Linked DNA regions of Ovis aries. The protein of the gene in region 1 purifies or fractionates together with the protein of each later gene. This does not show direct contact. Links are inferred from orthologs where the notes say so. Each region holds a gene or a part of one and is shown in the gene's direction. Other genes may lie near its edges. The genes, in order: SAP30, BRMS1, SUDS3, MTA2, BRMS1L, ARID4B and ING2.

Evidence for each region.
Region 2: the proteins of SAP30 (region 1) and BRMS1 purify together in Homo sapiens (affinity purification with mass spectrometry; 3 studies listed by BioGRID and IntAct, with this or other methods). This does not show direct contact. The link is inferred for Ovis aries from reciprocal best matches to the Homo sapiens genes SAP30 and BRMS1.
Region 3: the proteins of SAP30 (region 1) and SUDS3 purify together in Homo sapiens (affinity purification with mass spectrometry; 4 studies listed by BioGRID and IntAct, with this or other methods). This does not show direct contact. The link is inferred for Ovis aries from reciprocal best matches to the Homo sapiens genes SAP30 and SUDS3.
Region 4: the proteins of SAP30 (region 1) and MTA2 purify together in Homo sapiens (affinity purification with mass spectrometry; 3 studies listed by BioGRID, with this or other methods). This does not show direct contact. The link is inferred for Ovis aries from reciprocal best matches to the Homo sapiens genes SAP30 and MTA2.
Region 5: the proteins of SAP30 (region 1) and BRMS1L purify together in Homo sapiens (affinity purification with mass spectrometry; 4 studies listed by BioGRID and IntAct, with this or other methods). This does not show direct contact. The link is inferred for Ovis aries from reciprocal best matches to the Homo sapiens genes SAP30 and BRMS1L.
Region 6: the proteins of SAP30 (region 1) and ARID4B purify together in Homo sapiens (affinity purification with mass spectrometry; 5 studies listed by BioGRID and IntAct, with this or other methods). This does not show direct contact. The link is inferred for Ovis aries from reciprocal best matches to the Homo sapiens genes SAP30 and ARID4B.
Region 7: the proteins of SAP30 (region 1) and ING2 purify together in Homo sapiens (affinity purification with mass spectrometry; 3 studies listed by BioGRID and IntAct, counting the BioPlex papers as one, with this or other methods). This does not show direct contact. The link is inferred for Ovis aries from reciprocal best matches to the Homo sapiens genes SAP30 and ING2.

The regions. Positions count from the first base shown.
Region 1 is NC_056055.1:107,369,837-107,373,094, reverse strand, and holds the end of SAP30 (histone deacetylase complex subunit SAP30), read left to right. Parts: intron 1-214; coding exon 215-313; intron 314-2,328; coding exon 2,329-2,451; 3' UTR 2,452-2,654; downstream 2,655-3,258. UniProt on the Homo sapiens protein: Involved in the functional recruitment of the Sin3-histone deacetylase complex (HDAC) to a specific subset of N-CoR corepressor complexes. Capable of transcription repression by N-CoR.
Region 2 is NC_056074.1:40,819,788-40,824,523, reverse strand, and holds the start of BRMS1 (breast cancer metastasis-suppressor 1), read left to right. Parts: upstream 1-1,862; coding exon 1,863-2,001; intron 2,002-2,070; coding exon 2,071-2,161; intron 2,162-2,317; coding exon 2,318-2,445; intron 2,446-2,592; coding exon 2,593-2,672; intron 2,673-2,757; coding exon 2,758-2,854; intron 2,855-3,375; coding exon 3,376-3,468; intron 3,469-4,626; coding exon 4,627-4,691; intron 4,692-4,736. UniProt on the Homo sapiens protein: Transcriptional repressor. Down-regulates transcription activation by NF-kappa-B by promoting the deacetylation of RELA at 'Lys-310'. Promotes HDAC1 binding to promoter regions.
Region 3 is NC_056070.1:56,885,076-56,889,030, reverse strand, and holds part of SUDS3 (sin3 histone deacetylase corepressor complex component SDS3), read left to right. Parts: intron 1-383; coding exon 384-403; intron 404-1,871; coding exon 1,872-2,028; intron 2,029-3,955.
Region 4 is NC_056074.1:37,477,277-37,480,797, reverse strand, and holds part of MTA2 (metastasis-associated protein MTA2), read left to right. Parts: intron 1-735; coding exon 736-853; intron 854-983; coding exon 984-1,047; intron 1,048-1,230; coding exon 1,231-1,348; intron 1,349-1,627; coding exon 1,628-1,730; intron 1,731-1,937; coding exon 1,938-2,037; intron 2,038-2,210; coding exon 2,211-2,399; intron 2,400-2,496; coding exon 2,497-2,571; intron 2,572-2,698; coding exon 2,699-2,757; intron 2,758-2,899; coding exon 2,900-2,997; intron 2,998-3,105; coding exon 3,106-3,245; intron 3,246-3,498; coding exon 3,499-3,521. UniProt on the Homo sapiens protein: May function as a transcriptional coregulator. Acts as a component of the histone deacetylase NuRD complex which participates in the remodeling of chromatin.
Region 5 is NC_056071.1:43,755,681-43,759,635, forward strand, and holds part of BRMS1L (breast cancer metastasis-suppressor 1-like protein), read left to right. Parts: intron 1-918; coding exon of another isoform or gene 919-961; intron 962-1,225; coding exon 1,226-1,353; intron 1,354-3,100; coding exon 3,101-3,180; intron 3,181-3,955. UniProt on the Homo sapiens protein: Involved in the histone deacetylase (HDAC1)-dependent transcriptional repression activity. When overexpressed in lung cancer cell line that lacks p53/TP53 expression, inhibits cell growth.
Region 6 is NC_056078.1:7,336,684-7,340,638, reverse strand, and holds part of ARID4B (AT-rich interactive domain-containing protein 4B), read left to right. Parts: intron 1-2,772; coding exon 2,773-3,042; intron 3,043-3,955. UniProt on the Homo sapiens protein: Acts as a transcriptional repressor. May function in the assembly and/or enzymatic activity of the Sin3A corepressor complex or in mediating interactions between the complex and other regulatory complexes.
Region 7 is NC_056079.1:13,497,767-13,502,171, forward strand, and holds the start of ING2 (inhibitor of growth protein 2), read left to right. Parts: upstream 1-1,284; 5' UTR 1,285-1,758; coding exon 1,759-1,939; intron 1,940-4,405. UniProt on the Homo sapiens protein: Seems to be involved in p53/TP53 activation and p53/TP53-dependent apoptotic pathways, probably by enhancing acetylation of p53/TP53. Component of a mSin3A-like corepressor complex, which is probably involved in deacetylation of nucleosomal histones.

The DNA.
Region 1 (3,258 bases):
CCTACTCAATTGACAACTCTTATAGTCCCCAGTCGTTAATAAGCATCCTCAAAAGATTGAACTGTTTAATGCATTTTTAGTTTTGATTATTTAAAAGCCTTTTAAAATAATGGAATTAAATTTTCACTGTGTTGAAGTTGAAATGTTTTTTAGAGCAAATATTAGTCATTAGCAAATGATATGAACTAATTCATATACGTTAATTTTTTTCTAGGTTGATTTATACCAACTACAGGTGAATACGCTTAGGAGATACAAAAGACACTTCAAACTCCCAACCAGACCCGGGCTTAATAAAGCACAGCTTGTTGAGGTATATATAAGTTTTAAACTATTTAACCTTTAATGCAAAAAAAGTCATTAAATACTAATGATGTTAATTTAGTATATATAACAATACATTTTAGTTAGAAAAATCAAAGTTAATAAAATCTAATGTGGAAGAATCTAGTTGCCTAGAAATGTTTGTCTATCACTTAGGAAATTCCTTTATATAATGATTACTCATTAGATTATATGCAGTTTTCTAAGCATCTTCTAATACTGACTTTCAAAAATAGTAAGTAAAAGTTTTTTTGTATTCTCTCTCTAGAAACCTGTTTCTTTTAAAATTTTATTTTACTCAGTAAACACTTATTGAGCACCTAATTGAGGCATAATAATAAATTAATAAGCTTTGATGTCTTTGTTAGAATTTTCTTGGTTTTTGTTGGAATAGATTTTACAGATAAACCTCTAAACAGTATTCCTGTAACTTGCTGATTTAACTATTTCAGAATTTGTTCTTGTTGGTGTTAGTTTGTTTATGTGAAGCATCCCTGTTTTTATGACTAAAAAACGCAAAGACTTTTATCCAAGCTTTTACTTATAGGTTCTTGAATATAGGACTTGCAGTCCTTCAGTGAATTTTGAAAAGTTGAGTGCTTGTGTTCTCAGGAAATAATAGAGCCAAGAAATGTGTGTGTCATATTAAGATATCTATAGATTTATATGTTTATACTTCTATCATGTTTAAAATAAAAATGCTTAACCTACTTGACATACTTAAATAAATATGTAAATCAGTTTTCTCATATTCTTCAGCTTGAATTTAGAAAACCAACATTTTATAAAATGTCCATATTGAATAACATAGGTGAATGGAAGGTACACTTTGGCAGAATGCTTTTTAACATTAAAGCTTTAGCCAGAATTTCTTCTTTCCTTCTTGCTTAGACAACAACAATCTAATTTTTCTTTAAATTTGATTTAAAAGGTCAAGTCCTTTTCAAGTTTTATAGTACATTAATATAACATAAACATATCTCCTGCCATGATGAAATTATTAATATATTGATAGATAAACAGATACATAGTGAAGGTGCTTTTATTTTGGGACAAATGACAACCTAAGAATTGGTTATTTTAAATGTTATATTTAAATGTATATTTTTTTAAATGCAGAAATCAAACCTGATGTTTTTGATAATCTGATCTTCTTTTAAAGATATGTTTTCTTATTTAGAAATGAGAAATCCAAATAGTATGAGTGTTATAACTTAGTCAGAAATGCAGATATTTATAAACAATTCCAGAGTTGAGTGACCAGCCTGTGTAAGTCTCGTATCTTTTTCTTTAAGAAGTTTTATCTTCTAGAATCTAAATATGCGTTTCAGTGCCCCAGTTTAGTCTAATATACTTCTACTGGTAGTTGCCGTGCATGTGTTACATTAGCAGAATGAAAAGGCAAGAAGGCAGGTAAACATTCTTCAGTGGACATCCTTTCCCTTCTCATTTCTCATCCATAATTTTTATACAGAAAAAATTTCAGGGAATTTTAACAAAGAATATTTCCAATGAATGAATGAATGTTAAGTCATAGCAAACATATTTGTAAGATCATTCTTGGTTTGTTTCTATCGTACCAAAACTTTTCCGACTTAATGGTTGTTCTTTTTCCATAAGAAAAACCATAAACCATTATATAATGCATGTGGACTCTTATATTCTATTTCATTGATATTTGAAGTTTACAAGTAAAAGTATTTAATTCTTGATCTACATCTCAGCTATAAAATTTAAAAGAAATAAAGTGAAGTACACATTCTGATTAATACATACTTAATTGAGTGGGCTAAGGGGTCTTTTGAAATTACACTATCTCTTGTTCATAACATCTTATTCTTATATGCTTTTTGTCCTGTTGGTATTTTGTTAAATACAGTTTATTTTTTGAAAGGAAATAGCGCTTACCACATTTTTTCTTTTGATGACTGTTTTTTTTTTAACCTAGTTTATAAACTCTATTAATATCTATAATTTAATTTCCTCAATTTTTTTTCTTTATAGATAGTTGGTTGCCACTTTAGGTCTATTCCAGTGAATGAAAAAGACACCTTAACATATTTCATCTACTCAGTGAAGAATGACAAGAACAAGTCAGATCTCAAGGTTGATAGTAGTGTTCACTAGGAGAGATGGAATTAAAACTTGGATGTTCAGATGTTAAGACTGCTTACTGCTTTTTCACTTGTAGAAATGTTCCTTGTGTATTTTTTCTACAGAGGATTTTCTCTGGTTTTCTTTTCTTTGTTTTGACTCTAATTAGTTGGAAACTCATGTACAATGAGCTTTCCTAGATTAAAAAATATTTTAAATAAAGGTTATTACTATTATAGTTGCTTCAGTGTATTTATTTTGTGGAACTTGATTTTTATTTTAAACTGACTTTTAGGGACCAGTATTAATTGAAATTTTAATTTGAAGATCACTTTATTACCTTTTTTCCCTTTTTTTAGTTCTGAGAAACTAACCAAAGTAATAGATGTCACCCATTTGCTCTCTCTGGGGCAATCTCATTTGGAATTAAGGATATCCTAAATAGTATTATTTTTTAAGTATTTTTTAGTACTAACAAGTTCAAAATAGCAGGAAGAACAAATAGTTTGAAGCCTACTTCCTTCCAAAGAAGAGTTAATGTGTCAGCAAAGGTAAATGTAGTGCTGAAAGTTGAAATCTGAATGTAGAATTAAATAGTTTGTCATTTCTTTAAATTTTGTTTTAGTGAAAAAGTATTTATATGGCACAAATATAGAAAGAACGTCTGCGCTGCACTTTAATTTTCAGTCATGTTCTGTACTGTTTACAATGCAAATTAAAACTAATAAGTTGGAGAGATCGAGAATTTATCAAGATCTTTAAATTTTGGTCATACATAGCTCTGACTTGATTTCTGTTTTATTTAGTTTTATATTTCATTCTCTGTCAGTTTTCTCTTAA
Region 2 (4,736 bases), on another chromosome or scaffold:
CCAGGGGCTACTGAGAAGTAAAAGCCAATCCCGGCCCTACAAACGTTTTTGTTTAACTTTGTATTTGCAAATCCTCCAGTCATCAAATGAGTCGGTACAAATGGGTGAATAAAGCACATGTGCAGCCCTGCCCTGGTGAGGCTTACTGGCTGGTTGGAGAGACAGATGTGAGAATGGGCAAATAGACATGCAAATAAGTCAGGAAGGGTGACTGCACAGAGCTAAAGGACTACAAAGAAGCCCAGAGAAGGTATCACAGTGAAACAGAAGCCCCCAATAGGCAAAGAGATGATCTGCTGAGAAGACTGTTTATTCTTCCTCTTGGGTGATCTTTTGGCCGCACTTGGCACTGTCACTTCTTCATTCTGAAATTCTCTCTCCCCAGCTTTGAGTTTTCCCTCCTCCATCTCTTGCTAATTTTCTTCCTTTTTGGAGGGGTCTCATCGTCTGCCCCTTCGGTAACCCTGGAGTTCCATCATGAGCCCCTTCTCACTCCACACATTCTGCCTTGCTGGTGGCACACTCTCCCAAGGTCTGAAGAACTCACTCAATGTGATGACCAGATCTCTGCAGCCCAGATTTCTCTCTGAGGCTTAGACCCATGTGTCCCCACCCCTGCCCCTTCTCTCCTTTCAGGGTCTTTTTCATGCCACTCACTCTCCTTAGAATGCTTTCTCTTCCTCAGCCAGCTCAGCTCATGGGTTTGGCCCTTCATCCTCTGCAAGCCCTCACTGCTGCAGCAAGCTCCAGGTTTCATTTAGCTGCCTCTCCCATATGCTCTTGGTCTTAACTCTTCTGCTTCCTGGCCTCTCTCTCCCAGGAACTTGTCAACTCCTTGAGATCAGAAAACTGTCTGCCGCACTTGAGCCAAGCTCCTACCATAGTGTCTGATGGTACCTAGCATATGTTAGATTTTTCAATAAAGATTAAATCAGTGAGTAAAAAGATGTTTAACACTGTTCTTTGTTGCTGAGAAGTCAAGATAGAGACCAAAAAATATTGGCATCGGGTACAAGGAGGTCATCTATTAACTCTACAGGATCAGTTTCAGCTGAGAGCAATGATATGGAAACAGATTGGAACAAGTGGAAGGTGAAAGAGTAGGAAGAGCATGTGTTTACAAGACCTTGCAAAGATGGGAAATGGGGGCCGTGATTGAGTGGAGTGGGATGAAGTTTTGTGTTTCTGCTTTTTCTGCATGTTGGGAAATACCTAAACATGTCTAAAGTTTCCTAAGAGCTGCCAAGAGGGAAAATTGAGCATGCAGAAGAGAGAGTGGAGTACTGATGACTTGGGGTCTTAGAGGAGGCAGAAGGAGGTAGGATTTGAGCATAGCGAGAGGACCCGAGCATTGTAGGGTGGGAAGAGAAGTGGAGGGCTTTATAGGCAGAAGAACAGCACAGTGGGCAGCAGGGGCTGGGGAGGAAGTGCGTGGTGTATTTGAGAACTGGCCATTAGATGTGGGGTGAAGGAGCTGGACAGCGGTTCAAGTCCAGTGTGCAGGGCCTCGAAAGCCTGGGTCAGAATTTTGGCCCAGTCCCGTAGGCAGTGGAGAGCCCATCTTGGCCTTTCCCATCTTACAGATCATCACCTTGGCCAATATTACGGGGATTGTGATCACCAACAATGTCCAAGGGGATGGGCATTTCTGTGGCTCCTAGATTTCTGGGAGATGTGTAGATGGTTCCATTTGTACCTGCCCCACCCTGCATGTCCCTAGGGCCCAGCGAGTCCAGTCCATTCCCTCCCCTGCTTGTCCCCATCCACAGCGAGGCTTGATTTGACTCCCCAAGTGACCACTTTGCCACTCGGAGCTGGGGACAGGGGCGAGTGATGGCTCCACTGCTCCTCCCAGCGCCCAGATGCCCGTCCAGCCTCCAAGCAAGGACACAGAGGAGATGGAAGCAGAGGGCGACTCAGCTGCCGAGATGAATGGGGAGGAGGAGGAGAGCGAGGAGGAACGGAGCGGCAGCCAGACCGAGTCCGAGGAGGAGAGCTCAGGTGAGCCCCACACGCCCTCGAGCGCCCTGCCTGCCCCCGCAGCCGGCCCTGACTGGCCTCTTGTCCCAGAGATGGACGAGGAGGACTACGAGCGGCGCCGCAGCGAGTGCGTCAGTGAGATGATGGACCTGGAGAAGCAGTTCTCGGAGCTGAAGGAGAAGTGAGCGAGGGGCCCGGGGCTCGGGGCCCGGCTTCCAGGAGGCAGCGGAGGGCCTGGCGCCAGCCAGGGCCGGTGTGAGCAAGGGCCTGACCCGGGGCGCTGGGCACGTGTTTAGCAGATGGGCACACGGGCGCACGGCTGCCTTTCGCCTCCCAGGTTGTTCAGGGAACGACTGAGTCAGCTGCGGGTGCGGCTGGAGGAAGTGGGAGCTGAAAGGGCACCCGAATACACGGAGCCCCTGGGGGGGCTGCAGCGGAGCCTCAAGATTCGCATTCAGGTGGCAGGTCTGTGGCCCGTCCTGTGCCCCGTCCCCTTATGAGAACCCACGGCTCTCTGTCCCCTTCCCCTCTCACCCGTGCCCTGCCTCACCCGCCTTTGTGGGCAGCCAGGGCCCTGGCCAGGCCCGGCCGCCCATCGCCCTCCCTCCGCAGGGATTTACAAGGGCTTCTGTCTGGACGTGATCAGGAACAAGTATGAGTGTGAGCTGCAGGGAGCCAAGCAGCACCTGGAGGTGAATGTGGGTGCGCCGGGTGGGGAGGAGGTGGCCGCCCCGCCCCACCCCGCCCCGCCCAGCTGAGCCGCTGCGCCTCTTGCAGAGTGAGAAGCTGCTGCTGTACGACACGCTGCAGGGCGAGCTGCAGGAGCGGATCCAGAGGCTGGAGGAGGACCGCCAGAGCCTGGACATCAACTCTGGTGAGGCCAGCGGCCAGCCGGCACCCCTGTGCTTCCAGCGCCCGTTCCCTGTCTGGGCCTTGCCTTCCCCGCTTGCATGGGGGTGGGTGTAGGAGGGCCTGCTCCGTGCTCACCGTGGGGACTGACGGAAAGCAGGCGGGGAAGGGCCCAGCCCGGTGCCTGGTGCACAGTGGCAGCTTGGGGGTGCCCTCCCTCCGTGCTGGTCCCAGAATGGAGGCATCATTCTGACACACGTGCCCCTGCCATGGCCACAGTGTGCCCATTCACACAGGGCACTGGGGAGGGAGGGACTAATGATCTCACACCCCCATCCATGAAACAGATGAGGAGACTGAGGTTAGCAGAAGCACAGTGACCTCTTTCCCAGGATTGAACTCAGCTTCCAAGCCCAGGCTTCTCTGCACTGCCCTGGGGAGGTTGATGGGGATGGGCTGGCCTGGCCCACGTGAGGGACACAGGCTTCAGGGGTGGGGCGTCCTGGGAGGACGGCACCCTGATGCTGACTCTGGTCTGGGGCGCAGAGTGGTGGGATGACAAACTGCATGCCAGAGGCAGCTCGAAGACATGGGACTCCCTGCCACCCAACAAGAGGAAGAAGGCGCCTCTCGTTTCCGGTATCCTTCCCCATACAGTGGCCTGAACTGGGCAGGAGGTCAGGGTGGAGGCACATGGGGGACAGAGGCAGACCAGACTCACTTAAGGTCATCTGGCCTCCTGTGGCCGTGTCCAGGCAGATCAGCTGTTGAATTTTCTGCAGGGTCCTCCTGGCCTGTGTGGACCATGGAAAAATAGAAGCATTCATCCAGAGATTTCCCCATAGTTTTCTGAGTGAGGTCTCCTCTGAGGCCCTTCTGGCTTTCTCACAGTGTCTTGGGCATGTCCCAGGCTCTCCCACCCCCATGCCTTTGCTGACTTTACACTCCCCTCTTGGATGCCTTTACCTGTCTGCCTGCTCGGTGCCCATCAATTGTCACCTCCTCTGTGAAGCCTCTCCTGGTTTCCCCGACAATGGCTGTGGCTTCCCTCTCCTCTGCACCCCTTTACCTGAACGGGGGCACCTGCCTCCCTTCTGGACATAGTCACCTCTGCCGCCCCCCAGGTGTGAGCCCCTCTTGTTCAGGGCCTGCTGTGCCGGCCTCCCCCCCTCGCATAGCCCAGCACGGAGTTGAATTGAATTCTCAGGTATACACACCCCTCCATATTTCTGCCGCAGTCAGATTATCAGGAAGTTGACCTCCTGGTGATGGGGATCATGTTCAAGCAGGGAGGGAAGGATCTGGACTGCAGAGGCTTGAGCGGGGGTGGGAGGTGAGGGTGTGGAGACGTCAGCGGGCAGAGTGGCCAGTCCCCAGACGGGCGGGTGAGACCGATGGAGGGTGGTTTTCAGGACAGAAGAGATAGATGACAGTCTGCGTGTAGGTGGGGCCAGTTGAGGGAACAGGGGGCGAGATCCCTGAGTGGGTGGCCTGGGCCTGGGCCTTCTGACCTTGAGGCCTGAGAGGAGGTGAGGAGGGAGCCAAGGGGCTGAACGCCCTCTGTGGACTGGGTGAAACTGAAATAGGCCGCAGCCACGCACTCCACCCTGCTAAGAACCCAGGAGCCACGAGGTCGGAGGTGGAGCCTGAGTGCTGCCCCAGGTGCTCGGCTCCCCAACCCGCCATCCACGGCACCGCCGCCTCTGAGTGCTGGCACCTCCCACCCCCTGGGCTGGGGGCCCGGTCCCATCCCCTGCCCCCTCCCCACGTCTCCTGTTTCCTTGACCCCCATCTCAGGCCCTTACATCGTGTACATGCTGCAGGAGATCGACATCCTGGAGGACTGGACAGCCATCAAAAAGGTGGGTCTAGCGCTGCCTGCCACAGGGTGGGGGCTGGCGGTGCAG
Region 3 (3,955 bases), on another chromosome or scaffold:
CAGAGAGCCCTGCGCACGAGGCTTTAAAAACATCCACATTGCCTCTGCTTCTGGACTAACTGAGTTGTTTCTTCTGTCCCTTAGGACTGTTGAGGGTGTGTGCTCAGTGAAAGAAGGGCTAACTTTACTTTTGCTTTGCCAGGGTAGCTTGGTTGCTGCTGCCCCCTTTTGCCCTTGGGTAGAGCTGCCAGAGCGGATTCTGTTCAGGGCCAGATTTTAACTAGTCCTGCCTCTTCATGTAGCCACACTTTACTGATGGAAACATGTGCTCTGTGTAACGGTGCTCTCAGAAAGCAATTACTGCTTCTAAATGAATCCTAACGTCACTCTCTAGAAAGGTGGTACAGCTTCGCGAATCTAATTGCATGTTTTCTCTCTTTCAGAGCTCTTCCTCCAGCTGGAAGTAAGTACCACGGGTCTTCTGGGCTTGCAGGATCTTTGTCAGGGTGGGATCTTGCTCTCCCAACCCAGTGGCCTTTCCTTCATCACCACATAGACATAGCTGCTGGGTTCGCAGAGGCCCGCTGGAAGCCTCAACTAGGGTTCTGTTTGACTAAAGGACATTTGGTCTCAGCTCAGAAATTCTGTTTGTTGGTGGGGCAGCCTGTGCTTATCCCAGGGGCTTGACAGATGGATACTCACCCCTCACTGCTTTCTTGTTGACTCTCATCTCACATTACAGCCGTTTGGGGGTACATGGTAAAAAACTCACTTGCCGGTGCAGAAGACATATAAGAGATGCACATTTGATCCCTGGGTCAGGAAGATCCCCTGGAGGAGGGCATGGCAACCCACTTTAGTATTCTTGCCTGGAGAATCCCATGGACAGAGAAGCCTGCTGGGCTGTGGTCCATGGGGTCATAAAGAGTCGGACCTGGCTGAAGCAAATTAGCGCACATGCACGCACTGAATTATAATGGCCTAATAGTTGGTTATATTGGTCCTCAAAGCAGCCAGGTCTCTGAATCAGCTCAGTTTCATCCTTTTGAAACTCCGGATGGGAGGGAAAGACTGATTAAGATCTTTGACTGAGCAGATGCCTGAGTGCTGGTTCCATGTGAGGTGCAGACCTACAGGCAGTGATGAGGGCCAAATCTTGGGTGATGTGCTGGCTCCTAAGGGGCCAGTGTGTGTGTGGCGAAGCGGGAGGGTGGGGGAGTGGTCATGGTTTCTCACAGCTACGTTATTGGAGACTGAAGTCAGCACAAACACGCATAGTCATGGCCCAGAGGGTCACACGACCCATAGCCATACCCACCAGGAGTCCCCTTGTTCTTCACTTCAGGAAATGATGAGATTTGGAAAATGGATGCTTATGCATTTTTTTTTTTACTTAGTATAATTTCACTGTTTGAGTGTCTCTCTGGGTTCAGGCACCTAATAAGTGATCTTGTCCTCTTGTTGGTCTTTATCTTACTGCTGGATCTAACCTTACTGTACGCATCAAAAAATAGGGCAACTCAGGCTGTCTTGGTATCTTATAACTCATCTTGAATATAGGTATTTCATCTGGAATATACTATTTTCCTTCGAAGTTGTATCTTCAAAAGGGTTTGTTTACTGTTTTTGAGAAACTTAGGTTTTGTTTCCACATACAAGCCCCAAAGTATAAGATGTGGAAGAGAGGGAAATACCTGATTACAAGTGAGGGATTCACATAAAAACCAGAAGTTATGTGGTTCAGTTTCATGCATGCATTGGGAAGCTTGCTCCTAGACACCCTGTTACTGCTCGTTGGTGTGTGACTGCTGCTGTCTCTCTTATTTCTAGAAAAGGTATTTTCTTGGTGCTTACGCACAGAACAAGGCTTTGTGTTCAGACCCTGGCTCCCAGGGTTATATAGCCACAATCTATGTTTCTCTTTTGCTTAGACGGAACAAGTGGAAAGAAATTACATCAAAGAAAAGAAGGCGGCAGTGAAAGAATTTGAAGACAAGAAGGTTGAGTTGAAAGAGAACTTAATTGCTGAGCTAGAGGAAAAGAAGAAAATGATTGAAAATGAAAAGCTAACGATGGAACTGACTGGAGGTATGAAAGCACCACAGAACAGGATCCAGGGAAATTTGAGGGGGTCTTTGAGGGAGGAAGGCACTCCAGTGCTGACTCCTGTCAGTTCCTCATCATCAGAGCAGAGTGAGCTGAAAGAGGGGTGAGGGGACAGTCTTTGACATGGCAGGTCATAGTTATAGCTCTGTTTTGTATTGGCTGTGTGACTTTAGTCAAGCCACTTAACCTCTCTGAGCCTATTTTCCCCTCTATAAAATGAGGCTGATCATACCTTATTCCACAAAACTGATTAGAAATATGAGTGCCTAGTACAGGACCCTGTACATAACAGGTGTTGGTAAATTAAATGGTAGACCTTTATCAGTGACTGCAGCATCGGGCTTCTGCTTTATTTAACAAAATTCCTGGGTCAGCTGTCATTCCAGTCTTGCTTATCTTCACGAATTACTCGCCCAAGTTCCGCTCTGCTGGTGGAAATCCCTCTGTTTTTTTTTTTTTTTGGTGGGGGGGGTCTACCTTTGTTATGGAAAAAGCATTGTCTTAACTTTGACCTGACTGTGAGAACAGAGGCTTTGGCTATATCATCTATGCTGTTGCTTCACCCCAGGTGTTACTGTGAACATTTCAGCAGGGGTAGCTAAACTGAGTTGTTCTCCTGTGAAGCTAGTAAAGTTACGTTAGACTTGGAGCCAGTCACTCCCTGGCCTTCTAGGATTCAGTCGTCTGCATATGGGAACTCGGCAGGTTTGAGGGAGAAGCAATATGGGCTGCTTTTTCTGTTGCCATATGTAGACCAATGACTCTGAGAAGGATACAGGATGGGAATTGGCTTGAACTAGCTGTTTTGGAACTTGGCAAAATTTCCACCAGCAAATACTGAAGGCACGTCAGTGGTGAGTTTGTCACTTGGATTTGTAAATGGCATGCCTTCTGCGCAGCCCCAGATTTACTCTTATAATCATGTTCAGAAGGTCCTGGGGCTCTGGCATGTCTCATTTTTGTTGAATGCTCCAGAAGGACCTTGTTTTATGTAAGTCCTCGGGGCTGACTTTGAAGCTAGAAGTAACAGTTTAGAGCTTTATTTCCCCTTTGGTATTTCTGGTGCTGTTAGCCCACCTGGCCCTCCCCCTGACATGGACTTCTAGCGCCAGTCCCCACGACACACCAGTGATATGTGGTTGTGTCTAAAGTAGGGGTCTGGCTCTTGAAAAATCTCTCTTCTGATACCTTCCTTTTTGAAAGACTTGGCAAAAGGAATGAATTTCTTGAAGACCACTGACTGCAACTCAGAAATATGTCCTGGTGAGAATGAATGCTATATAAAACAGCATCTTCAGAACAGCACCGTCTTGTTCTTGTTGAGGCGCTTTTTTGATTAAACTGAGAGCGCAGTGGCGCCTTGTCCGGTCCCAGTCTGCGTGGCTGTATTCTGACCTGCACACCCTCTTCTCCAATGTGGCTCCGGTGGCATTGACGCCTCATCGATCCCCGCTAGAGCCACCAGATGCTCGGAGCCTTCATTAGGCGAGTGGGAAACATTGTCAGTTTACAGCCTCTCCCTTTCCATCTGTGGGGAAGGCTGTCAGCCCCTCACCTGTGATTTGGCATCCTAAATATTGACAGGCAATAGTCATTGGTGAGCCAGGCTGTTTTACAGCCGGAATTTTAACAGGGACAGGAGACATCCTCAGTGACTTAAGAGGCCGAGCCTGCCAGGGTAGAAAAGACAAATAAATGCAGGGAAATCATTTATGACGCAGTAAAATAGACTACAGGAGTGCTTACAGCCTGCCATGGGCATTAAAGGTACTGATGTCCTTCCTCAAGCCGTTTGGTACCCTTGGCATGGAAAGCGCTGCCAAGGTAATGATGGACTATCTGAAGGGAAGGCACTGGAGCTAGAAGGGTAACGAGCGTTTCCACAGATGGTGCTGCCATGGTGTCGGCT
Region 4 (3,521 bases), on another chromosome or scaffold:
GCCCCCAAAACAAACTATTATTAGCAAGTAGAAAACAAGAGAGTAAGGGTTGCATGTGATGTTTAAGAGCAGAGTCTCCTGAAATTTGCAGAACTGGTAAACACAATTTTGTTTGATGCTTTTATTTATTTATTTATCGTCACTGAATTTCTGGACCCCAGGTTAGTTTAGCAAGAAAGAGACAAGTGCAATATTCTTGCTGGGCCTGGTGTGGGCAGATTTGTGCCATATGAGTGGTATCTGAGCATTGGCACCTGGGTTTGCCATGTGTTTCTGTGGCAGCCTTTGTACTCTCAGCGTGTGTATGTACAGTTGTGTCTGACTCTGTGACCCCATGAACATAGCTTGCCCGCTTCTCTGTCCACGGGATTTCCCAAGCAAGACTACTGGGAGCAGGTTGCCATTTCTTTCTCCAGGGTATCTTCCCCTCCCAGGGATCCAAGCCCATCTCCTGCATTGATTGGCAGGCAGATTCTTTACCCATGAGCCACCTGGGAAGCCCTTGTACCCTGAGCAGCTCTTCCCTAAAAGCCCTCATTAGTGATGAAGAGTTGGGAGCACCTGTGATGGCGACAGGGGCGGGCTAAGAGGTAAGGGTGGTGTGGTGAGGATATGGAAGGCAGGTCCTTGAGGAATGTGAGGAAAACATAAAATATTTTCCCTGGGTTAGAGTTTTTAAGGTGGCTTCTTTCTGAATTAGTTTCTGACTTGCTTTCTTCCTCCTAAATCTCCCAGGGGAGTTTGAGGAGGAATCGAAGCAGCCAGGGGTGTCAGAACAGCAGCGACATCAACTGAAGCACCGAGAACTTTTTCTTTCTCGGCAATTCGAATCATTGCCAGCCACCCACATAAGGTATGGGGCAGTCAGAGCCACTGTGGCTTGCATGCACTTATTTAGAAGGTGGAGAGGAGGGGCTAGTGTGCGGGAGATGCCGCACGGAGGAAATGAGCTCACCCAGGGTTTTCTGACCTCTCTCCTGTAGGGGGAAATGCAGTGTGACCCTCTTGAATGAGACAGATATCCTGAGCCAGTACCTGGAAAAGGAGGTGAGAAAGAAGTGTTGGGAGAAGAGGGAGGGAAGTGGGTATTGCCCCGAAAGGCAGGAAGAAAGTCTGACTGGGATCAGGTACAGGTTGACAGTCTGCCTGTCTTGGGAACTCCAGATAACCCCTGTGTCCCCTGCCTATGAGGACTGCTGCCCAGCTTACTTTCTCTCTTTCTGTCTCCAGGACTGCTTTTTTTACTCACTGGTGTTTGACCCTATGCAGAAGACACTTCTAGCTGATCAGGGAGAGATCCGAGTTGGTTGCAAATACCAAGCTGAGATCCCAGATCGCCTGGCAGAGGGTACGCAGCAGGAGAGACTGGGTTATGACCACTGGGATATCTTAAGATCAAAGTCTCTGAGTGGTGGGCCTTGGCTTTGTGTGGTGCACAGTCTGCGTGGCTCTGTGTTAATGACCCGGCTAGACTGGGACCTTAGGAACCTGAAGGGGGCAGATGGGCACACTGGGAAGAGAAGTCTGAGAGTTAAGGTGGCTAATAGAATCCAAGGAGGAGATGAGGTGTTCCTGTGTCAAGGCACCTATTTTTCTCCTGGATGATAACCATTTTTCCACTCCCCAGGAGAATCTGATAATCGGAACCAACAGAAGATGGAGATGAAAGTCTGGGATCCAGACAACCCTCTCACAGACCGGCAGATTGATCAGTTTCTCGTGGTGGCCCGGTGAGGGGTGGGTGGATGGGGAAGATGGGCTGTGGGCGGTGTGGACATAGTTCTGAGTCATGTTCTTAAGAGATGGACTTTTAATTATTTTTGGCCTGGGTGTTGTCCTCCGCCCCCGCTCCCCCCTCCCCCCCAACCCACCTCATCTGGCTTGATTCCTCAGCCCACTCGAACTTTCTTTCCCTGACTTCTCACTCTCTCCTTTAGAGCTGTGGGGACCTTCGCAAGAGCCCTAGATTGCAGCAGCTCCATTCGGCAGCCAAGCCTGCACATGAGTGCAGCCGCTGCCTCCCGAGATATCACCCTGGTGAGCAAAAGTTGGTGGGTAGTTGGGTAGGCTGTGTTTTGCAGGGACCTGCAGAGCCTCGGGACTCTGCAGGGAGGAGGTTATCTCTGAGGTGGGGGGAGTACTTAAAGAGCAGCAGGGGAGTGGTGCTGAGAGTTTCAGGTCATCAGCATCGCTTCCCACCTTTCCTGTAGTTTCACGCAATGGATACGTTGCAGAGGAATGGCTATGACCTGGCTAAGGCCATGTCGACCCTGGTGCCCCAGGGCGGGCCCGTGTTGTGTCGGGATGAGATGGAGGAATGGTCAGCCTCAGAGGCCATGCTGTTTGAAGAGGCCCTGGAGAAGTATGGGAAGGATTTCAATGATATTCGCCAGGACTTTGTAAGTGGCTGGAGCTAGGAGAGGTGGAAGAGGTGGCAGATGAGGGAACGAGGCTCTGGGACCAGATCCCAGCTCACCCTTCTCTCCGTCTCTTCAGCTACCCTGGAAGTCACTGGCCAGCATAGTTCAGTTTTATTACATGTGGAAAACCACAGACCGATACATTCAACAGGTAAGATCTGGGCTGGGGAGGCTGGACCAGAGGACCCCTGCTCACCTCTGCTTTTGAAGTTGATGACACCACTCATCACCCCCCGCTGAGATGCTCTGATCCTTTTTCCTTTTTCTCCTTCCCGCAGAAAAGATTGAAAGCTGCTGAAGCAGACAGCAAACTAAAACAAGTCTACATCCCTACCTAGTAAGTATGATGGGTAAGGGTGTGTTTCTTCTCTCCGCCCCTAACCTGTGCTTTCCTAAGTGATGGGGGTGCACAGGAGACAGGGGCAAATTATGGGGACAAAGTGGAAGTCTTGACCAGTTCCTGGTTTCTCTCCCATCAGCACCAAACCAAACCCTAACCAGATAATCTCTGTGGGCTCAAAACCTGGCATGAATGGGGCTGGATTCCAAAAGGGCCTGACTTGTGAGAGTTGCCACAGTGAGTTCCAGAGAGGGATAAGGGCTGCTGGGGGTGAGTGGGGTGTTTGCCTCAGAGGCTCAAGTGGCATTTACCTCCTGACTGTTCCCTCCGCTCATGCTCCCACAGCCACACAGTCTGCCCAGTGGTACGCCTGGGGCCCACCCAACATGCAGTGCCGCCTCTGTGCTTCCTGTTGGATCTACTGGAAGAAGTACGGGGGACTGAAGACCCCAACTCAGCTTGAGGGGGCTGCTCGGGGCACCACAGTAAGGATGGATGAGGAGCAGTTGGGGAGAGCAGTAAGCTAATTGATGTGAGCTTTAGGCGAAGGCCAGGACACCCAGCTCCAGTAAGGTGATGGCTTGACTGTGGGTGGCGGGGGTGGGACTTGGTAGTGGTTGGGGAGCCAGGTGGTCAGGACAGCAACAAAGAAATCAGGCGGGAATAAATCCTCTGCTGACAGTGGAAGAAGGGAGCCTTGGTGACTGACTGTTCTCCCTTTATCCTGTGTCCTTCCAGGAGCCACACTCGAGGGGTCATTT
Region 5 (3,955 bases), on another chromosome or scaffold:
CTTTCTGGTTTTAAAAAAAGAATATTAACTAGTTATTAACTAGTATGAACATTCAAACTTGCTTTATTCCTTTAAAATCATTATATAAATCACTATGCTAAATATAATGATCAATAATAGACAATATTAGTTGTCTTAGTTGTATTAGTTGGTATTTTCAAGAGGAGAGAGTGGAATGTTACATGAATGCCAAGTATCATCATGTTTTCAATAGTCAACTGCTATTTATACAAACAACTATAAGCATAATCAGTGGTTTCTTCTGGGAGTTACTATATGCCATCCTTGTGATGTATTATGACATAGTCACCTATGATGCAGTAATAAATGGCAAAAATTTTTTTTACATGATGATCTTAAATCTGCTTTGAGATTTTAGGATATCTTTGAAATGCTACAAAACCAGGGTTAGAAGTGCTTCTCATAAAGAATGACAGTTTCAACATTTTCTTGTTAAAAAAGTTCTATCCTGCAGGACTATTGGTAAAAATAAACATTGGGTTGCCTCACATACCATCTTTGATAATCAAGCTGAAGGTATTGATGTGCAAGCTGTTACATTAGGCCTGTTTGCATGTAGACTCATAAAAAGAGCAACGGGGATTCTTTGCCCCACTTTTCACTTCCCCATCTGCCAAGCAACTCATGTTGTTATAGCTTCTTCATTCGCAGTCTAGATGAGCTGGGTATGCCAGGTCTTAAGTTCCCTAGGCTTTGGTTTTACCTTCATCACTCTGCTTCTTCTTGGTTCTCTTAAAAATTAAGTAGGCTGAATATTTTTAAACTGACTCCTTTTCAAGAGATTTGGAGGGGAGGCAGGGAATTATTTATTTTTGACAGCTAATAATGCCTGTATCTAAATTACTCAAAATAATTTGTTCCTTTTAAACTCAGTGTTTATTTGACCTTTTCTCTTAGAATTGATTTATTCTGCAGTGAAAAACACCTACAGTGTCCAGAGGTAGTTATTTTGGTTGTATTTTTTTGATTTGTAAATTAACCATTAAAAAGTGATATGTCTAAAAAATAGAAAAACATTTCTTTGTGATTATTTGCATAAAAGTCAAATGACGTAACTGTGTTCTTGTCACCTGAGATCAAGGAAAAAATATATTCGGTAGGCTATTAGAATATGAATGATATTAAGAGATAATGTATAGAAATGATAAATTGTTAGCCTTTGCTGGGCCTTTAAAATTAATATCTTAATTTTTGCTTTGTTAAGACTTTATAAAGAACGATTAAGTCAGGTGGATGCAAAACTACAAGAAGTCATAGCTGGAAAAGCACCAGAATATTTGGAACCACTGGCAACTTTACAAGAAAATATGCAAATTCGTACAAAGGTAGCAGGTAGGAAAGTGAAACATCTTTTCCATATAGTAGAATATGAATTCTTCAATAGATTTAAAAGGTGGTTGTTGTTAATAGAAGTACAAATGTATCTACGTTGAACAGAATATTATACTATCAGTCAGCCCACAGTTATTTTAATTTATTAAATGCCTCCTGCTTTTCTCTGCTGCTGTGGAGCGTTAAAAAAAAAAAAAGCCCTCAAATTGCTCACAGTGTTGTTGAAAAGATATTTCCACATGTGAAACAGTTAGAAACCAGGATATTTTCATTAAGACATACTGTTAACACCGTAGTTTATTTTTCTATTAATGTTCAATTTAAGTCCTCTTAGTATTTTTCATCTTTAAGAGTGATAAAGAGTTCTTATTTATAAAAACATTTAAAAAATTTTGATCAGGATGTTACAGAACAGGGAATTAGCCTTCAAACCTGTAGTTCAGCTATGAGTTTTTATTTTGGAAAGTTTGATGGTGCATTTGTGATTATGAATAAATGGAGGTGTATTTTATTTGTATGGTTAAATTTCAGTCTTCTGTTTGTAACTGGGATCTGGCCTCGGAATTGTGTCCTACCATGCCTAACAAAGGATATATCTATTTGAAGATCATTTAATGATTTTTCATCGTCAAACTAAAAACTGAAATTTACTGAAGATGCTGATTGTTTTCTTTTTGGGGAACAATAATTGATCCTCATACACCTGTTACATATTAATAATACCTACGGCATTGTTGATAATAGGTTCTTCTTATACTGAATCCTCCTTAAACCGAATTTTAGTCTTGAGTGCTTAACATTAAGTATATAGATAATGTTATGCTTAATCTACTATTTTTGCATATTGACTTAGCACATCCTTAAAAGTAAACATGTCCTTACTTTTCTTTGACATTTGAAAAGAACTAAGTGAGACTTCCTTAAGTTTTGAAAATATTACTTGAGTCAGTTATTCACTTCGCTACGAGGTGGCCTCCTGTACTTTTTGATTGTACAAAGAGTAGTGTGTGTGATTGTGTTGCTGACGGCATAGTTCCAGATATCTGTTCCTTGCCTTTACTGTACAAGAAAAAGTATTACAGTTCTAGAGGCAGCTATGGCATAGAGTTAAGTATGTACATCTAGACCTCTTTGCCATTTTTGTGATGGCGTATTTGCATGGCCTACTTTCTGTGTTTTTTTAAGGGTGCCTATTTTATGCAGTGGTCTCGGTACCTCTAAGTTAAACTTGAACATCTATCCTCTAGGTAAAGCTCTGTCAGGAGCACTCAAACATCATGTTATTTTATAAATTTTCTTATATTAGTTTATACATTGAGTCTTGGAAGCTTCGGACTCTATTTTGTTTCGATGGTTATGGTATCCAGTTGTTAGTTTGAGTATATATGATTGAGAAACCAGAGTTTTTTTTTTTACTGTTTCCCTTATGAATCCTGAGACATTGTTTTTCATAGGTGAAGAGTTTTATTTTTGTTTTAATCATTCTCTAACAAGCATTTGGAAATATTTTTTAGAAAAATGGCTAAGAACTAAAATTCGCGGTGTAGTTTCTCTCTAGCTCTTAGTTTTGTAGTCTTCTTTGATGTATATTTTGACTGAGCCTTGTTATTTCTAGTTTATAAAGGTAAAGTTAGACCCACCAATTTCTTCTTGATCCATTTTATAAAATAGGACAGAATTCTTACAGGGAAGTGATAATGAAACTCCTTATTGCTAACATAATCAGAGTAATTGTGTTTGGTTGCAGGAATCTATAGAGAGCTCTGCTTAGAATCTGTAAAGAACAAATATGAATGTGAAATTCAAGCTTCTCGCCAGCATTGTGAGGTACTGTTATTTTGTTTAACTTTTAAGCTGATTTCAATTCTTCAAGTCTTCTTCTGAGTGCAGCAGTTAAAAAAGTAAATGAAACAAAATTGAATAGTACTTTAGCTCAGCCCACTTATGCAATTTTTTTTAATACAGTTTCATTGGAAGCTATATTGGAAATGGGACACAAAGAATCATACAAAAGAACTAAGTGATATAATTTTAGAAGTTTTGCAGCTGTCACCTTAAAAAGACTTTGTAATAATTATGTCATCTGGCATCACCAAAAGTAGTATAATTAGTATAATGTTAAAGACTCAAAAAATGTATATCCGGTAGTTATATTAACTTCTCAATTTTTTGATCTGTCTCCACATCTTAGGGCAAAATTCTCTATGGGGGAAAAATGGATTCTCTATGTTCTGTTTATTTTTAATAGCATTGGAAAACATAGTGTTGATTTTGCAGATTACTTTTCATAAGGCCTAGACAAGATCATAAATAACTAGGGAAAATAAGAACAAGCTCTGTGATGATTCTTATCTTAATGTACCATATCTTTATAAACTATTAAAATACTGAGAGTAGATAGATATAAAAATGATGGAGCTTGTGTCATTTTCTTGGTTATAACTGAGATGAAACATTTTCTTTTCTAAGAAGTACCTGTACCTATCTTTTGCCTTTATGTTGAGCTTTTAGTCTTTTCCTCATTGACTGTAGGGATTCTTCATATATTCTGGATACAAATGTACTGCTGGTTATAAGCTTTGCAAATATTTTTACCCAGGCA
Region 6 (3,955 bases), on another chromosome or scaffold:
AACATATAAATATTTATCTAGTATATAAACTCTCTTAAGTAATTAGCTGGTACAAGAACTTTCAGTGTCCTTCCTTTGTAGTTCAGTTGTGTAAGATTAAATAATTGAATTTATGTAAAATGTTTGGTTCAGTGCCTGGCCCGTAGCAGGTACTAATAACCTATAATAGTTATTTTGGTCTTAATTTTGGTCCATTGTAAGTAAGGAATGTGACATCAAACTTGGGAAATTTGATTATTTGTGAGTTCAGATGAAAAAGTCCTCGTGGATACATTTGGTTTCCCAAAATGTAAAAGATAACTCATGTAATGTGTGTGTGTTGTGTTTATGTTTTTGTGTAATACATACATCCGCTTAGTATACCAGCTACATTTTATACTTTGAAAGGCTCTCTTTCTTGACATTCTGTGTTCTTTTTGATGTATCTACCTCTGATTTTTGCCACTGAGAAGAGAAGGAGGGGGAGAATATTTGGTTCGGCTGATGGCCAGTAATTGTGTTGTTTGCCTCTTTGTAGTTCAGTGTGTTATTGAGTGACTCATTTGATTTGTGTCTGAGGTTGACATTAAATGAGAAATTCTAATTTTTAATTTTTGATTGCTTTTAAAAATTAATACAGAGTATTAGGTTTTTATTCCAGATTACATAAAAGATTGCCCTGGCTACCACTGAAAGTAGGATTGTGCTAGCTATTATTGGTGTTTGCCGGTTGTGTTCAGTGCTACGTGTGCGTGTGTGCTCAATCGCACAGTCGTGTCTGACTCTTTGCGACCCCATGGACTATAGCCCACCAGGCTCCTCTGTCCATGGGATTCTCCAGGCAAGAATACTGGAATGGGTTGCCGTTTCCTCCTCCAGGGGATCTTTCCCAACCCAGGGACTGAATCTGTGTCTCCTGCCTTGGCAGGTAGATTCTTTACCCTTGAGCCACCAGGGAAGCCCTCAGTCCTATATGGTTTTTTAATGAACAGTTTCAAGTTAGTTTTTGTTTAAAACATTTTAAACTTTTAATCATCTATATCTCTTTTATGTTTTCTATAATGATTCTGAGATGCATGATAAATCTCTTTGGTGTATGATCCGTCTTTGTTGTATCTACCAGAATATGCTTCCTTTTCTCCCTGATGAGCAATGATACAATCTTCTGATTAAACAAGTAGTATTCTTTCAGAAAAAGCCTTACTGGTTAATTTTACATATGTTTATTACGTATACATAAATCAGTTAAGTTGTTAATAGTTTATCTGATAGTTTCTTAGATATTTCAGGCTTTCTGATAATTTCTTAGGTATTTCAGCTTTACTTACAATTTTTTCATTATAGAAATGTTAATAGATTTTCAGTAGCAGAATTCATATTTTTTGTCTCAGGTTACAGCTGGATTCATTTAATTTTTAAGTACCAATTTGACTATAAACAAGTCTTTAAAATAGGAGTAATTCTTAAGAATCTTTGTAGACTTTGTGATGCATTTCAGAGAAAATTGACTCATTTGGTACTTTTGTGAACTCAGACTTAATTTCATAAGTGTATTAAGCTTCCCTTCATCCCTGCTGCCTCACTGTATAGAAGGAATAAAAAAGCCCTACAGTTCTAGTTGTGACAGTATTTCTAGTTTATTTTTTGTTGCCTACATAATTGCATAATTAGGAATGATAAAGTATGTTATTGCTAAAAAAGTTTGCATAAAAGAATTTAAAACTAAAATTATTAGTGGAGGAAGATTTTTTTATCTACATACTATGCCCATTAACTTTTAAGGGTTAGTTACTTAGCTGTCTTATGGTTCTATTTTATGACATTTATTCATTTGTCAGCTATAAAGTGATGGATTCTTTTTGAGAGCAAACTGTTGTAATAAGGATAGACATACTGCAGAGTAAATAATTGAAGTTTTTTAAAAATAAATCTAGTGCATGGAAAATTTATAATTTAAGATTTTCCCCCAATTTATTGAATACAAATTTGTGATCAATATAAAATGAATATGATTGTTTTAGAAAGCACGTGATATTGAGAAGACCAGAATCGTTGCGTTGCTGCTTCTAGAATGCAAATGACTTTCAGTTTCATATTTGCAACTGGTCTCTCATATGCCTGTTTCTTCAGAACTTCAAAGTTGAGAGAATTGGTAGAAGAGGACTTTTGGTAAATATGGAGAAAAGAGAGCAGAAATTGTGTTGAAGTTTAGAAGAATAGAAAAAACTTGATGCGATTTTAATGTGAACTTAGTAGGATATTCCTATAAAAGGTGAAGCAATATTTCATTTAATACAACTTCAGAAAATCTGGTTGAAATTATTTTAATTATTAAAACTAGCCATTGGCTAGTAAAAATTTGTTTAAACTTTTATCTGGAGGTTGGAAATATTTGAATGAAAAATATTTTTTAGTCAGAAAATGGCTATGAGTTACGATGATTTTTGTTTTTGTTAACTGAGTTGTAAAGAAATTCTACAATAAAACATGAGGAAAATGTTAGCGTCGACCTTACTAGCTAGTTTCTTGCTGTTCAGCACAACTTCTGTTCTTCTGCCTGTTGGACATTTTCTTTCAATACACTTACTTTTCAGTTTTCATTTTCTCTGAATATATCTTTCTGTAATCATCCATGGCCATCTCATACAGGTTTAGTGTTTGATATTAAATTGAAACTCAGAGAATATCATACGCTTGGAACCTGCTGTTCCCGGAACAATCACAGCCACGATTTTTATCAATTTATGTGGTTTGGAACTGAAAAGCTTATGAAGTGTCTTTTATTAACTGCAGTTTTTTAAACCTTTCAAGAGATGAAACGAATAAAGAGGAAGAGGAAGATGATGAAGAAGTAGAGGAGGAGGAGGAGGAGGAGGAAGAGGATGAAGAGGATGATGACAACAATGAGGAAGAGGAGTTTGAGTGCTATCCACCAGGCATGAAAGTCCAAGTGCGGTATGGACGAGGGAAAAATCAAAAAATGTATGAAGCTAGTATTAAAGATTCTGATGTCGAAGGTGGAGAGGTCCTTTACTTGGTGCATTACTGCGGATGGAATGTGAGGTAACTTGAGTTTTAGCTAGTGATTACTACCTAAAAAATCTTGTACAGTAATTTTCTATTTTAAAATTTAACGAATTATAGATTTATTAGTATTCCAATTGAGGTCATAGTATACCATATAAAAAACATGGAGTTTTGACTTGTAAATACCTCTCTCAGTGACTTCCTACTTACTGTTTTCAATACTTTAGTCTAGAAAACTAAAGTCTGTGTAGTTGATTTTAATTTTATGCATGTAGATTAATAGGGGCAACATTGTTGGTAAAATGATAGAAAATTTTCTTTAAAAGTTAAAAGGGATTTAAGCTTCTTGAGGTCTACAAGCCAATTATGAGGCTTCTGGCTCTCTTGCATTTTCATCTACCTTTCCACGGTAACCTCTTGTTTCCTTCTTAAATCATCCCATTTTCTTGCCTTTAGTAGGCAGGATTTTAAAGTTGCGATTTCTTAGGAAGCTTTAGCTATTTCAGGAAGACCTTATATCTGCATTGGCAGCTCTTGCATGACATCTTGTTCAGAACCCTCAGAAATTAATTTTTATGTTTGAAACAATGATTGAAATATGAGCAAATCTGCTTGACTGAAATAGGGTGCATGGTCCAACTCTACTCACCTAGGGAACTGAAAAGCAGGACTGAGTTTTCTTCTTATACAAGTTTCCTTTGGTAATATCTGAATTTTATCCAAAGTTGGCAAGCTCGTTTTGGGATCTGAGCATCTAGATATCTTTAAGAAAAACCTTATTTATTTTGGAATGTCTGATACTGTATTTGAAGTAGCCTGTGATAAGAGTTGTAGCTTTTGAAAAGATTGCCATCTTAGTTTTCAGTGGTGGTGTCATGGTGTACCTAGTGTTTTCAAGGAGGAATACAGTTCTCATGATTTCTGTTTACATTGTATTCTGTGGTTTGGA
Region 7 (4,405 bases), on another chromosome or scaffold:
AGAAATTCAAGTTTATCGCCCATTCAGGTTTTCTTTTTAACGCAGAGGTACTGCTCACAACAGTGCTTGTTTACACAGGCAACTGTTAAAGTTCCCCATGTATTTGTTCTCTTTACACCCATTTCTTTGAAAAAATACACGCTGTTATATACACCGAGTCAATATGGAATTCAAATCAACTCCTCTGCTGGGCATTTTATTTAACACCAGACAGAAATTTACGCCGTGAGAGCCGATCACGTAAGACGAGGGTAAGTGCCTGACTCCTCTTGAGGTTTATCCTGGCGTCTCCATCATCCCTTCAAGCCGGGCCCACAGTGGTTTTGTTTTAGGTCGAAGATGTTAACTGACCGTGCCCCTATCGCCGTCAGGAAGCCGTCACCGCCAATGTTTCAAGTTTAAACGTTCTGATCCCCGGGGGCAAAACATGTTTTTTTTTTTTTTTAAAAAAACGTTGTCTGTTGGACAAACAGGTACAGGGCAGAGTCTGCCTAAAATAAACGCGAGTCTACAAAAGTCGGAGGGCGGACCAAACCTGCAGGTCCTGGGGCAGCGGGAGACCCCCCGCAAGGGCGGAAGGGCGGGCGCTGGCCTAAGCCGAGAGGGAAGATCCCAAAGGCGGGCGGCCCAAGGCAGAAAGAGACGCAGGGGGCCGCGGGGGCGCCACCGACTACCTCCGCGATCGGCCCCCTGTGCGCCGGGAGCCTGAAGGCCGCGGCGGGAGGAGGACGGGGCCCGAGCGCGGCGCCGGCCCGGCGGGCACACCGCCACCGCCGCCGCGCATGCCCGAGAGCCGCGCCCGCCGCGTCGTCCCCGCAGGCCTCCCTCAGGGTCGCGGCGGGAAGCGGCCGCCCGCTGCCGCTTTCTGAGGCTCTCCAGGGGCAGCGCTAGGCCCCACCTGATGGGCGCGGGGCGGGGCGGAAAGTCGGTAACACCGGGCCGAGAGAGCGGGACCCAGCTTCCCCCTCCGTGAGGGAAGGGCGGAAGGAAGGCAGTCGCCTTCCTTCGCGCTTCAGTCCCATTCAGACACTTAGCGGAGAGGCGGGCCGGGCCGCGCTGCCCCTTTAAGAGGAGGCGGGGCGCAGCCTGCCGTTTGGCCGCCCTCCGCACCCTCCCCCCGCCCGGGCCGAGAGTTGACAGACCAATCGCCCGGGTGGCGGAGGGAAGGCGGGAGAATGCGAACCCTGCGGTAGGGCGGTAGGGGCGGGCCCCCGGGCCTCCTCAGGAGGGAGCCCTGCGCAGGCGCAGAGGCGGCCGCAGCCGGAGGGGCGGGGGCAGCCCAGCGAGAGACTCTCCGGCAGGCGCGGGAGGGTGATTGGGGGAAAAGCGGGCAGCGAGAGGCTTGTCATGGGGATCCGAGTTACGGGGCGGCACTGGTAGCATCTGGGGCCTCCCGGGGGGACCGGAAGTGTCAACGCTCGGGACCCCGGCGCCAGCTCCGCTAGGGGAGTTCGGGGGTGGGGGGGGGGTCCCCGCTGCTCTAGTCCTGGAAAGGGAGGGGGGAAGGAGGGTGCCGCGATCTCGCCCCGCCCCTGGGCTTGTTACGGCGGGGGCGGGGAGTGAGGGCTTCTTTGCGGGGGGGAGGGACCGGAGATTGGGGGACTCGGCAGTGCCCTCCCGAGCGGCGGCCGGTGTCCCCGCGGCGCCGGGCTGCCGAGCCGAGGAGCCGCGGCGGCCGTGGCTGTTGCATGTGTGGCTGCTGGATGCGGAGGAGGCGGCGGCGGCGGCGGCGGCAGCGGCAGCGGCAGCAGCGGCAGGATGTTAGGGCAGCAGCAGCAGCAGCAGCAGCAACTCTACTCGTCGGCCGCGCTCCTGACCGGCGAGCGGAGCCGGCTCCTCACCTGCTACGTGCAGGACTACCTCGAGTGTGTGGAGTCGCTGCCCCACGACATGCAGAGGAACGTGTCCGTGCTGCGGGAGCTGGACAACAAATATCAAGGTAGGGACCGCGGGTCCTCCCACCCGACTCGGGGCCCGGGCACGGTCGCTCGGAGCCTGCCCCAGGGAAAGTGCCACTTTTCCAGCTCACCCCGAGTGTACACAGTGTGTGTGTGGGGTCTGGTGTGTGGGACCCGGGGCAGCGGGCCCCCGCAGGTGGGGTTCGCGGCCCTCCCCCTTCCCCCGCTGCGGACTTCTTGGGGGGGGTCTTGAGGGTGGAAGGGAGAGGTGGCCGCTCGTCAGCCCCCGCTGCAGACCCAGCGACTGCAGCCGCTGTGAAGACGAAATCAGCCATTTTTAAGCAGCAAGCTCATTTGTTCCGGGTGTTCGCCCGCCGTGTACCGCAGACCCCTCGGCGCCCCGGCTCGGGGAGCGTGCAGCAGGGCGGTGGAGGGGGGGCTTGCCGTGGGGAGTGAGCGTCCGGCCGCGGCCGGACTCCCGCAGGCCCACAGGGCCGGGCTTCCTTCAGCCCAGCCCGCCTCAGGCCCCCACCCCCTGAGCGCAGATGCACTGGAACGTGCTAGGGGGGAGGGGGCGAGGGCGGACTGCGAAGGTGGCCTCTGGGGAGGTCCCTCCCCCGGCGCTCCGGGGCTCTGGGCTCGGGAATCGAGTCTTCCCCAGTCTCCCACCCCAGGGAAAGTTCCGGGCCGCAGCCTTTCCCGGCTGCTACAGCCGAATGGTTGAAAGGCTAGGGGCTCCCCGCGGGGGAGCCGAGGGGTGTGTGTATGTGAGTGTCTGAGTGTGGGGTGAGCAGGCTCCCTACCCCCCCGCCGCCTGGGGGCGGGGCTTGCAGAGGTGACGTAGGGTGTGGGCGGGGCACGGGCGCGCGCGCTCCCGCCCGTCCGGGAAATGGCTGGTCGCGGGAAGGCTCGGGCGGCAGTGCAGGACGTAAGCTCGCCCTCGGCGCAGTCAACGTTGGGATTCGGGACACGTTTGTCTGTGAATTTTCTACTTTCCCCCCCCCCAGTCACTCAAATCACGACAGAGAAACAGTCAGCTTCGGGGACCGTCGCCGATCCCGGCACCGCGTAGGTTCCGGGCCCTGCGTCACTTCCGGGTCCCCGAAGGGTGTGAGCTGGTTGACTGGGCAACCGCCTGGCGTCCCTCAACCCCTGGGTCCCTCCTCCGCCGAGTTTAAATGCTGTGGCAAAAGCCGCCCTTTGTGGTCAGACCCAGACCGCTAGGACAGAGAATCGACCTTTATTACGGAGCGTGTTATTTGTTATTTATCATTGGTGACCCTTTTCGCCTGCAACTGCAAGGGGAGGAGTTAACTTAAATGGGGAACCGTTTGCGGTTAATAGTCCCGAATCAAGCAACAGACCTTGGACCTGATGTGGAATCAGCCCTCTGAACTTTAAAAAGATAACTTCTTGGACCCATTCTCAGTTTTTTGACCTGTCGCAAATCCTACAATTTAGTGTCTTAACGCATTTCTGGGGTGGTATTTTGGGGCCTGCAGCCTGATAGAATATTTAGTTGTCTCTGTGTCTTGTTTTTTAACCTATTAAAAAACAGTTTAAAGGCAGTTTATTTCTGCCTTTTGAATCCATATTGACAGGACTGGTCTTTGTTGGGGTCGGGGGAGTGATTAATACAGATTACTGGTTGTCAGTTGCTGCACTGCGTTCAGAACATTATCCCATTTAATCTTCACAGCTCAATGAAGTAAAAATTCATTTTGCAGACAAATTTAAATTTACAAGAAGTTTAAGTAACTTGTCCAATTAAGTGGGGAATATTTGACTCCACAGCAGGGCTTCTTCAGGTGACATGGTCGTTTTTAAAGTATTTAAATCTTTTTTTTTTTTTTTTTAATGCTCTCCAAAGGTGTTTTCTATAGACGTGGAAGCACATACCTGAATTGTAACCTAAAAATATTACATGTGTGCTTAAGAGTTGCATGTGGAACCTTTTTAGTTTTTCAAATGATAACTCTGAAGTTTGTAAAACTTGCATGCTTTTACATTTCTTTAAAGACCTGTGTGAGTTCACAAAAGTTAAGATACTTTAATTTGAATTGGCCAGCCATAATTTGTTCCAGGAACTATGCAGTCTTGACCATCTAGAATTGACAGAAGTAGATTTGACAACATGAGAAACATTATTGGGCCTTGAAAGACTGAGAGATTATAAAAAGTTGTAGCTCCCTTAAGACTATAGTTCATTTCAAAAGTAATACAAAAACAGTGATCTAGTTGTTACTCTATGAGCATGCTTCCTAAGCTTAACTTTCAGTTTTCTATTAGCTTTGTATACTTGTGTGTTTTTGGTTTTCATGTCTTTAATTTCTTTTCTAGTTCTGAAGTATTTTCTGCTTTTTTATTTAATATTTACAGTAATAGTGATATAAATTATTTAGACAGTCAAGTTTCTTTCCTACCTATTTCATACATTTTCAGAAATTACTGAAGAACCCTAAAAGTAGACTTAAAAACTTTTAAAGAGAGAGGAATGAAGAAAACAA